3 linked regions of the Ovis aries genome follow. The protein of the gene in region 3 purifies or fractionates together with the protein of the main gene of each other region. This does not show direct contact. Links are inferred from orthologs where the notes say so. Each region holds a gene or a part of one and is shown on either strand. Other genes may lie near its edges.

What was found.
Region 1: the proteins of STK38L (region 3) and CDC37 purify together in Homo sapiens (affinity purification with mass spectrometry; 3 studies listed by BioGRID and IntAct, with this or other methods). This does not show direct contact. The link is inferred for Ovis aries from reciprocal best matches to the Homo sapiens genes STK38L and CDC37.
Region 2: the proteins of STK38L (region 3) and MOB2 purify together in Homo sapiens (affinity purification with mass spectrometry; 9 studies listed by BioGRID and IntAct, counting the BioPlex papers as one, with this or other methods). This does not show direct contact. The link is inferred for Ovis aries from reciprocal best matches to the Homo sapiens genes STK38L and MOB2.

What each region holds. Positions count from the first base shown.
Region 1 is NC_056058.1:12,789,706-12,793,648, reverse strand, and holds the start of CDC37 (hsp90 co-chaperone Cdc37), read left to right. Parts: upstream 1-1,138; 5' UTR 1,139-1,233; coding exon 1,234-1,335; intron 1,336-3,943. UniProt on the Homo sapiens protein: Co-chaperone that binds to numerous kinases and promotes their interaction with the Hsp90 complex, resulting in stabilization and promotion of their activity. Inhibits HSP90AA1 ATPase activity.
Region 2 is NC_056074.1:46,387,449-46,391,742, reverse strand, and holds the start of MOB2 (MOB kinase activator 2), read right to left. Parts: upstream 2,806-4,294; 5' UTR 2,749-2,805; coding exon of another isoform or gene 2,732-2,748; intron 2,303-2,731; exon of another isoform or gene 1-2,302. UniProt on the Homo sapiens protein: Stimulates the autophosphorylation and kinase activity of STK38 and STK38L.
Region 3 is NC_056056.1:188,234,211-188,238,451, forward strand, and holds the start of STK38L (serine/threonine-protein kinase 38-like), read right to left. Parts: upstream 2,806-4,241; 5' UTR 2,770-2,805; intron 1-2,769. UniProt on the Homo sapiens protein: Involved in the regulation of structural processes in differentiating and mature neuronal cells.

The DNA of each region.
Region 1 (3,943 bases), on a different chromosome or scaffold from region 3:
CCCATTTAAAGACCTTTACTCCTTCCTCTCCAGCGCCCCCCCAAACGCCTGCTTGGTTGGGGGGAGTCTGGAAGAGGCGCCCTTCACTCAAGTGGCTGAATCTCTACCCATTCTCCCTGTCCCCCGCCCTGCGCCCTTTAATCTGAGATAATCCTGGCCCTAGGCTGCAACGCAGCCTTTTATCCCGGTATCAAAGCGTGGGTAGGGATACATGAAAATGTGTGGCTGCGGTCGCCCAAGCTCAGTGTAATAGAGTTCTTAGAGTCTGGAACGAGGAAGGGGATCCCAGACGAAAGAGGGAGGGACTGCGAGGAGTCCCAGAGTACCTCGACGGAGAAAGACCCCCTGCGTGCGCACTTCCAAGCTCTTCCACCCCTCCCCCACCTGGCGCGGGGCACCCGCACTGGCCGCTAGTTAGACACTAGCGACACCCAGCGGATGCATGGGGAGCCGCCGTAGACAAGCTAATGAGGCCCGTTAAGTGCGGTCGGGTGATTCCAGAGGGGGCGTGTATGCGCGAATCCCCGCTAAGGAGTGGCAGAAGATGGGGGAGGCAAGAGGGGAAGCTGTGGTCCGAGCCAGGGAAACACCAGGTCTCAAGGCAGGGCCACATCGCCCCCATCTCGACTCCTCGAGGGCAGGGCCACAACCTTCCTTCACTTAGACCCTCCTAGAGCAGGGCCTTGTACCCCTTGTACTGGGAAGGTCCTTTCCCATCAGGCACCATCTCCAGGACAAAGTTAAGTCCCTCTTCACAAAAGACGGGAGCGAGGTCTTTTCGCCGAGGCCGAGCCCCAGTAGTGGGCTCAGGCTGACGTCACTGTGGCGTGGCTAAGAGGACAATCCTCTTTTTCAGTCTCGCCAACTGCCCCCTCTCCCAAGGCTGCCGTAAACGCCCACCGTGGGGTAGCGGGAGATGAGGGGGGCTCGAGGTTGGAGAACCCACCCGTAATTCCCCAGGAAGGGCCTAGTGGAGGCCGGAAGCCGGATGGGGTGAGGTCTCAGCGGACTCCCGAGAGCCGGAACACGTGCGCAGGGCTCTTTAAGAACTTGGTCGCCAGTGCCGCTGCTGAGGTTACTAAGGATGTGACGTCACGCGAGGGAGGGGTGTAAGCGTCAGGGCGGAAGCGGAAGGGGCGGGGCTCCGCGGGCTGTGTCTCAGTGCTGCCGCTGCCGCCGCCGCCGTCGCCGCCACCGCTACCAGAACCCTGGAGGGCTGGGCCCCGAGGCAAGATGGTGGACTACAGCGTGTGGGACCACATCGAGGTGTCTGATGATGAAGACGAGACGCACCCCAACATCGACACCGCTAGCCTCTTCCGCTGGCGGCACCAGGTAGAGCTCGCGCGCCCAGCCCCTTCCCCCACTCCCGGGACTCCGCTTCAGAGTTCTGACCCCCTGATACTGCCGGGGGGCCCCAGCCATTGATACCTGGGATTGCCCCCTACAGCCTGGACTTTCCGAATAGCCTAGGGTTCTTCGATTCAATTCCGGGGCCATAGAATTGCCGGGACCCCTGAGTTCCTTGCCCGCGATGCCGGCGCCGCCCCCCCCCCCCCACCCCCACCGCCCCGCGCTTCCAGTTTCTTCTTGAAACGCCAGGTTGACCTGTACGGTATATTTTTAGAATTTAGACTGCCAAGACAAGCTTTTGACGTGCCTCCCAATCCTGCTTGGGATCTTCCATTTACACCCAGATTTCTACCTCAGAATCTGGATCCTGAACCTAGTCGGGTACCCAGTTAAGATCTTGGCTGTTCCATGGCTCCTCCTAACCCCTGTGCTCAGTCGCTTCAGTCGTGTCCAACTCTGTGACCCCATGGACTGTAGCCCGCCAGGCTTCTCTGTCCGTGCGATTCTCCAGGCAAGAATACTGGAGTCGGTTGGCATTTCCTTTTCCATGGGATCTTCTCGATCCAGGGATCTTTTATGTCTCCTGCATTGGCAGGCAGGCTCTTTACCACTGGCCCCGTCTGGAAGTCCTCCAAAACCCTAGAGTTCCCAATAGTTTAAGTCTGTTCTGCGACCTGCTTTTCTGGATCCTTATGGTTCAGATCCAGAAGTCTTACTCCTCTGAATAAAATAATTCTGTCTTCCCCTGAGATTTCTGTTCCTGGCTTGGGACTCCAACCCACACCCAGGACCCCTCCCCTAGAACAAAGATTGGTACCCCCTCCCCCCAAGGCCCTCAGTCTCATCTAGGCCTGGAATTTTGAAACTTGGGTCCTGTTCAGAATGAACCACCACCTCCACCCTGATGGAGCCTCCAATTCCGGAGGCTCTTCTTTAGCCTCTGGTACTGTTAGACCCAATTTCCCATTACATCAGGAAACCCTACCCACGTGGCTTCCTGCCCAGCCAGAACCCCTGCCCCTCCTTGGTACCTCACACCCAGTCCCCGCCCACCCCCAAGACAGACTTCCAGTGGGAACCTTTGCCAGCTTCAGAATGCCACATTCAAACCCAAGTCCAGGACCCAAATCCATCCCATCTCCCTTCTGACCCAAACTTGGTGTGCTATTCTCAGACATCCACAATGACCCTGCTGTTACAAGGAACCCACCCATCCTGATTCCAGATTCACCGCCCCTTCTTTTATCTATTTTCCCCCAAATACAGACCCCCAGAATCCCAAGTCTGTATGTTCTTTCGACAACCTGCAACCCCCCCCCCCACCCCCGCAGCCGCTCAGCTGTGCTCACAGACCAACAGAATGGCTCTCCTGAGACCTTGTGTGCTAACTTCTTGCTCCACCAACTCAGAGCTCCTACACCCACATTCCAGGGGCTGCTTTGCTCTCACACTTATGGAATATACCTTCTAGAACTTTCCAGTTAGGAAAACCTCATTCTGTCTTCCCATGTATCAGCTTGCAGTTGTTTATCCAGAAACACCTAGAAGCGCCCTTCCTCATCCTGCTGAGACACAGTATCCGTGCCTACATCTAGTCCCAGTTCTGGGTCCAACCCATTACTTAAAGCAGCAGCCTCCTGGCTAGGGCTTCCCTGGTGGCTCAGATGGTAAAGAATCTGCCTGCGGTGCAGGAGACCCAGCTTCAATCCCTGGGTGGGGAATATCTCCTGGAGTAGGGAATAGTGACCACTCCAGTATTCTTGCCTGGAGGGAGAATCCCATGGACAGAGAAGCCTGGTGGACTACAGTCCATGGGGTTGCAAAGAGTCGGATACGATTAAGCGACTAACCCTTTCACCTGGCTAGTGTACCTGGTGGGAAAGCCACTGGAGTGGAAAAAGAAAGTTCTAGTATTTCTCTCTTGCCATATGTGACATTTTATGATGAAATATTGAAGCTCTCCGCAAAGCTTTAAAGCTCATTCTCGGGAACACCTATTCTTGTCACGAAGTTGATCTCTATCACCAGGTTTGGTCCTGCTGGTTTGGGAGGCCATGCCCGCTCTCATACAGCATCCTCCTCTCACCACGCCCTACTCCCTCCTGGCGCAAAACCTTTCCCTGTCCAACCGCTGAGGACCCAGGGCTGTCGTGGAGATGAGTGGAGGCAGGGAGCCTGGTGTCTCCAGCACGAGGTTCAGCTGCCAGTGACTGGCAGCCTGGGCTCCAGCCCTGCCACAGGACCATCACTGCTTTGGGGGAGCGAGCCCTCCGCCTCCATGAGACTGTCGTGAAAATGAAATGAGATTAGATCTTGAAAGAACTTGGCTCGGCGCCTGGGAGGAAAGAGTAAGCAATACCAAGAGTGGAAGAGGGGATTAGCCAAAAGGTAGCCTGGTACCCTTGTGAGCGCAGGCCTGCCCGACTGGGTTCATATCCTGCTCCTTCTGCATATCACTGACTTGCTGTGATCCAGTGAGGGTTTTTTTTTTTTTTTTTTTTTAATTAATTTGACCGCACAGGGTCTTAGTTATAGTGTGCTGGATCTTTAGTTGCAGCATGTGGAATCTATTAATAGTTCCCCGACCGGA
Region 2 (4,294 bases), on a different chromosome or scaffold from region 3:
AGCTCCCCGAGCAGGTTTCCTGCAGGCCTCGCTTTCCTCACCCACGACAGGGAGAGCTGAAGATAAGGCTGCCAGCCTTGCTCAGCAAGGCCCTGCAGCGATGGGGAAGATGCAAGCTCACAGAACCGTCTGTCAGCCGCTCCTGTGGTCAGGACGGCGAGCAGGAGAGGGGGAGGGCGCCCCACTCGCCACTCCACTTGCGGCCACACTTTGTCACTCAAGACGAATGAAGGCAAAGAAAGTCCTTCTTTTGGAAAGAACAAAAAACACAGAAAACATGAAATCTCTATTCCAAACAGCCTGGTGACAGCGGATGGTACAAATCAACAAAAATATCAAGAAACAGTGAACACACACACTCTCCCTCAATTCTTCCAGGCTGCAGCCTGGCCAACTGCAGCCCCAGCGCTGAGCACGTAAAAGGCGCCAGCAGGAGCCAGGCCCCTCACCTGCCTCTGGCCAGCTCTCCTCAGAGGCACCAGGTGGACCAGGGCAGGCGGTCTGGGGTCTGCACCGCTCACGTCCCCTGTGGCTGTGAGGTCCGGGCCTCGGCAGCCCCCTACCTCACAGCAGATGCTCAATAAACTCGGGGGATGGACAAGGGGACACCCCGGCGCTCCCAGCTCGTGTCCCAGGACACCCACCCTGGAAATATGTTCTCAGGATCAGAACGTGACGACTGAGATTATTCCGCCTTCTTTTTAAGGAGCAGGGGGTTCATAGTGAAGGAGATGTGAAAGAATTCATGATTCACCAAATCCAACACGCAGTCCACCAGGTTTAAAAAGACACACAGACACAGATAAGCAAACTCCATCCTAACCTCTCTCTTGAGAGCTCAAGTCACTTTAGGACTGCCTACTTTATAGCCAGGCGGCAGCGAGGGCTCCTTCCCTCCGCAGGGACCACAGAGGCAGCAACTCCAAGACGGTCCCTTTTAAAGCTGTCTTCCTCCAGCACGGGCACCAGCCACTGAGCACGAGAAAGTCACTGCTCTGCTGACCTTGCCCAGATGGCCACCTGGGTGCATAGCCTTGACAAGGGCCTCAAGAACAGCTGTGGTAAATTTCTGGTTGTCCACAATGATAACCATGAAGTCCACAAGGCACAGACCTTGGGCAGTTAGAGAAAACAGCCAGCCGGTCAGCTTCCAGGGACAGAGCAGCAGACAGGAGCACAGAATGATGACAGAAGAACACGATCCGCCGCCTCCTCGGCAACCGCGCTCACCAGGCTGGTCCCCCTGACTCGGAGGCCTGCGAATCCAACTCAGCCATTCGTCTGCTCTTCTGAAACCAACCTGCAGGAGGCCCAGTGGCCTCCAACACCGTCTCTCCTGATAAAGGCAGAAAGCAAGCACCCACCGTTCAAAATAACACCGCTGCCTGCCCTCCAGTCTCGGTGCCTGCGAGCGACAAAGGCCTCCCACCAGGGCTTCCACCTACGCCACCAACGCCAGGCGCCACACACCGAGCTCGGCCACCTCAGCGCGCCCCGCCACAGTGTGGTCCTTGTCACCCGGCTCCCACGTTACAGATGACTGTTTAAAGGCGGGTCTGGAGAAGAAGCGACCACCTAGAGTCACACAGCTATTGAGCAGCAAGGCTGGGATGGGAGTTCCGCCTCTGCAAGAAACCAGGTGAGCTGCCTCGCCCCACAGCACCATGCCCTCCTGGTCCCTGCGCTCTGGCTCCAGATCCTCCCCGGCAGTCAGCACCTGTCTTTGGCCTTCTGACTCCTCCCTCACGCTGTCTGGTCTCCCCCTTCACTAGACTGCAGCCGACCTGCCAGCAGGGAAGGGTCTCATTGGTCTCATGCTGACTGTCCTGCCAGCACCCTCCACTGCCTACGCCAGCAACAGCCTGATCAGACAGTGACATGAAACGTACACGGGACCTTTCACCTCCCTTCCAGGTCTTCGGTGTCCAGACAAGCCTTCTACCTACCCCAGCCAGGCAAGCGCTCCCTCACTCCCACCCCAAGGCCCTAGAGTAACTACCCAGACTCCAGAGGAGCGCTGTGCACGTTAGAGCCAGACTAACGAAGGACCGCCCAACTGGGTGAGAAGTGCCTGCCCTTCTCCATCCTCAAAAAGTTAAAAGAAAAAAAAAAAAAAAAAAAAGAACAGAAAGGAAGGAAGAAAAAAGGACCGAAGCAGGTAGAATAACTTGTGGAGGACGACGTGACGTCCCGCACGTTGATCTAACCTCCAGCAAGCCCAACACACGCCGAGGGAGGGAGAGCCCGGCCCGGGCCCGGTGCTGATGCTTCCTTCCTACCCCGCCCTGCGGCGGCCGCCCGCGGAAGCGCCGAGCGCACCCTGCCCGCCGACCTCGCCCGGCGGACGCTGGCAGAGTTGGGTTGTTTTGCTCTTTTTCCCTCCTTTTAAAGGGACTGTCCTCTGCCGGCATCAATGTTATTTCTTGCAGAAGCAAGTTCCCCGCGCTGACCGGCGAGCAGCCCGGGTCCGACCTCTCCCGCCGCCCGACAACCAGCGGCGAGGTGTGGCCACCGGCCCCGGTCCGGCTCCCGGGACGCGGCGCTCCGCGCGAGCGCTCGGCCGCAGGCCGGCCGCGGGCCCGCTCCCGGCCCGGCCCCGAACCCGTTCCCGGGAGCCCCGGCCCCGGCCCGACCCGGGGTCGCCCCTCGCCCGCCCGGTAGGATGTCCTTGACCGGTGCCGCCCGCGGCGCGCCCTGCGGCCCGGCCCGCCCGCCCCGCCGCCGGACTCACCCCATGAGCCAGTCCATGGCTGCGCGGGGCCCGCCGCGCCCGCCGCCCGACTCACTCGGCCCTCAGCCCGCGGCGGCGGCGGCCGGAAGTAAACACTCTCTTACTCACTCCCACACGCGCGCCGCGGGCGCTGCCGGAAGTGACGCTAGCGCGACGCCTGCTGGGAAAGGTAGTCCCGGCTGCTACTGCGGCCCCCGCCCCCCGCCGCCGCGTCCCCAGGAGCAGGCGCGGGAATTTTCCCTTACGCCCTGGGATGTCCCTTCACACCCCGCCTGTCCCCTCACACCTCGGATGTCCCCTCACACCCTGGATGTCCCCTCCCACACTCCCGGATGTCCCCTCACACCTCGGATGTCTCCTCATACCCTGGATGTCCCCTCACACCCTGGATGTCCCCTCATACGTGCTGTCCCCTCACACTCCCGGATGTCCCCTCACACCCCGGATGTCCCCTCACACCCTGGATGTCCCCTCACACTCACTGTCCCGTCACACCCCAGATGTCCCCTCCCACACTCCCGGATGTCCCCTCAGATCCCCGGATGTCCCCTCATATCCCCGGATGCCCCCTCACACTCGCTGTCTCGTCACACCCCGGGTGTCCCCTCACACACTCCCGGATGTCCCTCACACACCCGAATGCGCCCTCACACCCGCTGTCCCCTCACACCTGCTGTCCCCTCACAACCCGGATGTCCCCTCACACCCGCAGATGTCCCCTCAAACACCCGAATGTCCCCTCACACCCCCGGATGTCCCCTCACACCCGCAGATGTCCCCTCAGACACCCGAATGTGCCCTCACACCCGCTGTCCCCTCACACCGGCTGTCCCCTCACACCCCGGATGTCCCCTCACACTCACTGTCCCGTCACACCCCGGATGTCCCCTCACACCCCGGATGTCCCCTCAGATCCCCGGATGTCCCCTCACACCCCGGATGTCCCCTCACACCCTGGATGCCCCCTCACACTCACTGTCTCGTCACACCCCGGGTGTCCCCTCACACACTCCCGGATGTCCCTCACACACCCGAATGCGCCCTCACACCCGCTGTCCCCTCACACCTGCTGTCCCCTCACACCGGCTGTCCCCTACACCCCCAGATGTCCCCTCACACCCCTGGATGTCCCCTCACACCCCGGATGTCCCCTCACACCCCGGATGTCCCCTACACCTCCCGGATGTCCCTCACACCCCCGGCTGTCCCCTCACACCCCCGGATGTCCCCTACACCTCCCGGATGTCCCCTCACACCCCGGATGTCCCCTCACACCCCCGGATGTCCCCTCACACCCCGGATGTCCCCTCACACCCCCGGCTGTCCCCTCACACCCCCGGATGTCCCCTCACACCCCTGGCTGTCCCCTACACCTCCCGGATGTCCCCTCACACCCCCGGATGTCCCCTCCCACACTCCCGGATGTCCCCTCACACCCCCGGATGTCCCCTCACACCCCTGGATGTCCCCTCACACCCCCGGATGTCCCCTCACACCCCCGGATGTCCCCTACACCTCCCGGATGTCCCCTCACACCCCCGGATGTCCCCTCACACCCGCAGA
Region 3 (4,241 bases):
CTAGATCATCTCAATCATCTACACAAATGCCTTTCCCTGATGAAAGCCTTCTTTAATTGGTCTAGTAAAATTTAACCCCTTCCTCCTTGGCTTCCCCACAAAATGGATTGTGTATTACAGTTATTTGGGAATATCTTCTTCCCATCAGGCTGAAGAAAAAGCCCACAGTTCATCTGAGTGCACAGGGCAGCAAATACTACTCACTGTTGCCCTTCAGTTTCCTCTCTCTAAAGGTTCTGAATAATAATACTGTGTCAATCAATTATAAAACATTTACCTGGAGAAAGGAGCTTTATGTAATTAGCACACATCAGTACCGGACATACCTAGGTCAACACTCTCTTAAAGACTTAAACAAAAATTTGGGAGGTGGGGAAGAAGGATTCACTTAATATCTTTTAACTACTGACCAAGGTTATCTTTTTAAATTAATTCTTAAAATTTCTTATGCTTTAAAAGCTCTCTCATTATTTCATTCAAAAAGTCTATGGTGTTTTTAATATTAAAATACAGTAGCATAATTTCCACATATGTCAAGTCAACCTAATCATAACTTACCCATCTGCTAATTTTAACATAATCTTGGGGTTGCTAGATGACAATATGCTTGCCTGATTCATCCTCCATTGTTTATGTAAAATAAAATCATTTTCACATTACATTGAGATGCAAAACTTTCTGGCTTTGATTTGTGCCCTTTTCCATCCCTCAAAAAAGTGCACACACATGCAAAAGAGCCTCCAACTGATCCCAGATCAGTGGGAAAACACTATCTAAAGTGTTATCCAACTTTGCTAACATGATGCTGCAGCCCTAACTTTGAGAGGACAGAACTTTCCTGAGAACAAATGGCTGAACTGAGGCTGCTGCTTTATTATCCCTTTCTACAAACTACGATTCTTCCTTTGTTTTCATAGCGTGTTACCTTTAGAAATTAATTTTTTAAGCATAAAAACTGTTGAGGACACCTTATTTGCACAAATATTTCTGGTCTCCACTCTATGATTTATTTAAAATGAAACTCAAAAAGGCTAAAGAAGAATTGCACTCATTTAATGTGGTTTTTCTAAGTCTAATTTTTTTTTCATTCCCAGGGGCAGGGGCTTCCAAAGGATTACAAAGACAACACCCAATTTGTTTCTCACTCTAAACATATCCCAAGTAAACGGGGAATGTTATTAGCCATCTTAACAAGGAGAACACCATAAACGCTAAGCCAGATTAAACAAACAGAAAAAAAATTTTTTTTTATCCATTGTACTTCCTCTGAGATCAGAATCTTTTACAGAAAGGTACTTTGACGATTCTATGCAATGAACAAATGTCATCATAATTTAACATCCTATTTTGAAGGAATTTCTCTCCCCTCACATAGTCACAAGAATGGTCAGTTCACATACAATACCTCTCAGCTACTGGATAGACAGTATAATAAACTTAATTGTTTTATATATCCTGAGGCATACAAAGAAAAACCAAACACAAAGAGGCTTCCAGTACCTTACATACATTTATGACCTAGACAAAGAACTTTCAAAAACCTGCCTTCAGTAAGCAACACTGGGCTTAAACAACAATAAACCCTGCCTTAAAGTAAGGAGACCTGGCAAGTATTAAGGCCTAACCCCGTCCCCCACTCACAGCCCCTGAAAGACCAAGTCTCACTCCCAGCTTACAGCTAGGAGGCATAACTGAAACACTTAAAGCTGTTTCCTCAGATTTTAGTAGTATTAAAGCTAATACTCAGGTCACCTTTTCCAAGCAATTGGCTTCTATCAAAACTTATCGCAAGTTGCGTGAAATAGACAGGAGCGTTGGCTCTGCATTTTATCAAGTGAGGAACACCAGCATCATACTTTCTGGACCAGCCACTACTCCCTGCACCACCAGCTCTCCCCGTCCCCCTCCCCATTTCTTTTTAAGTCTTTCCTCCAAATCCACAATTCGAAAAGCGGTCTCATAAAACAAAAGTAGTATCAGTAAGCGGGAGGCCACCGATTTTGAAAATAAAGTTAGTTCTTTTGCTCTCTACCTGGCAACTTTTAAGGGTGAAATGTTTCCTTCCTCCATCGGACACAACCTTCCCTATTTTTACCCATACCAAACAACCACTCGTTCGTCCCCTCGTAGTAAAGGTGAAAAAAAGGGAGTGGGAGAAAATGATGGTGAAAAGAAGGGTCTAGGATTCCACCGGTAGGGTCCGATTTTGAGAGACCGGCTTTAAACACTCCTTGGCTTCTGAGAGCAGCACGGCTTTTACTGTGTCTATTTGAGAAATGTTTAGGAATCTGACGCATCAGTTTTTAGGAATGGTACACAAACAGCCCCCACAATCTAAGAGCCATGCCCAGAATCCTTCCCCTCGCTGGCATCGGCTGGAGGGCACGGGACAGGAGAGCAGGGGATACAGGGGAAGGTCCTCACGACATTTGTTATTGTTTATGAAGCCCAAGCAGGGACAGAGAGCCCGGGGCTCCGGGACCGCGGAGGGGAGAGGCCAAAGGAGCCTGGAAGGACAAAGACTCCTCCCCGGGCCACCGGCCACCTCTCCGGACACCCGGGGCCACTATCACCCCAAGGAACAAGAGGGCCAAGGCCGTCACCGGAGCTTCACCGGAGATATTTCCAGCCTCGAAATCAGCCCGGCTTTCCCTGGACACCCTAAGACACATAAGATCTTCTCCTGATCCGGCTCTCAGAGTTGGGGCCGGAGAGGCAAGCCGTACCCCTAGCCTCCTCCGCGAAGAAGCGCCGCATCAGCGCACTCACCTGCCTCCGGTCGCGCCCGCGGCCGGCTCAGCCTCCGCACGGACCGCAGCCGGCCCGGCGACCGTCTGCTCCCTCTGCCCGCTCCGCCCTCGCCCCGCCCCCGGGAGGTGGGACCCGCCGCCGCGGCGCCGGAATCTCGGGGCGGCCTCCCTGAACTCTCGCGAGCCCTTCCTCCTCCGCTTCTAGGAGGCTCGGCCGGTCCCCGACGTCATACGCACCACAGCCGGAAGTAGCCTTCTGTCGTCAACGCAGGCACCCCGGCAGACACACGCCCCACCCACCTGCGCCCGGTAAATTCCTGACTGGCCCTGAAAGAGTTGTTCCAAGAGTGACCGCCTTCCTTCCTCATCAGCCTCACCTCATCTCCCTCTTCTTTGCTGAAAGCTAGTTCAGGCCACTCTTGAGGGACCCAGGGTGTTGCCACATTAGTCACGTGTCCTACAGGTCGCCAGAGTTTTTCTTGATGCTTCACAGTGCAAAGTGAGTGTTAAAGATAATAGGGAGCTTAGAGATCATTTCTATTATTTTTCTGGAACCTTTTGCAGAGTAGGAAGATGTGGTCAACAAAAATGGATTGGCTGGTCGTGTTGCCTAACTAGTTAGTAACTCAGTGTTCCTTGACTCTTTTCCTTTCCCATCATGACTCGATTGTAGAGACTTGAGAGGAATTCACATTTGGAAAAGCTACAAAAAACCAACCAACCAAACAAACAAACCAGAACTGCAGCATTCATGAAAAATTTGCTTGCATCATCTTGGAAAATCTAAAATAACTGATGGTACTGGGCTGCTGCTTGTTTATGATCAGAGAACTATGAGGAAAATCACCTGTACTATGACTCAGAAAGGATGGCTTTGGGAAGGTGATGCATTTGAGTTTTTATTTAGCAAATCAAATAAGAAAATTGTCCCCAGTTATCGTTAACAAATTACCTTCTATCTGAATATTGGAGATTTTATAAAATAAGATTTACTTTAGACTGTTAAGACAATATACAAAGCTAGCGCTGTGCTTGCAGAAAATGTAATTCAGAGATGACAACCATTATCTTTAGTTTTGCCCGGAGCAGGTGACACATAGGAAAGACTTAGGAAAGAATCTTAACATCACTTCTCTCTCTTTTTTACACTCTCTTCTCTCTCATACATAGCTTGATTGTTGGAAAAAGCACTATGTGATCTGGTGTGTTCTTGGAGAAATCAGTTCCTTCTATATCATGGTGATTTTGAGGCTCAAATGACAGTTGCCATATGCAAGCATTAGAAGTTTAATTGTGATCAAACATGCTTGACAGAGGGCTATACACCTCTCTCCCTCCACCACACACGTATTAATTCAGGTGAGTAGGACTGAGAACATATTCAAAAGCAGAGACATTACTTTGCCGACTAAGGTCCATCTAGTCAAGGCTATGGTTTTTCCTGTGGTCATGTATGGATGTGAAAGTTGGACTGTGAAGAAGGCTGAGCGC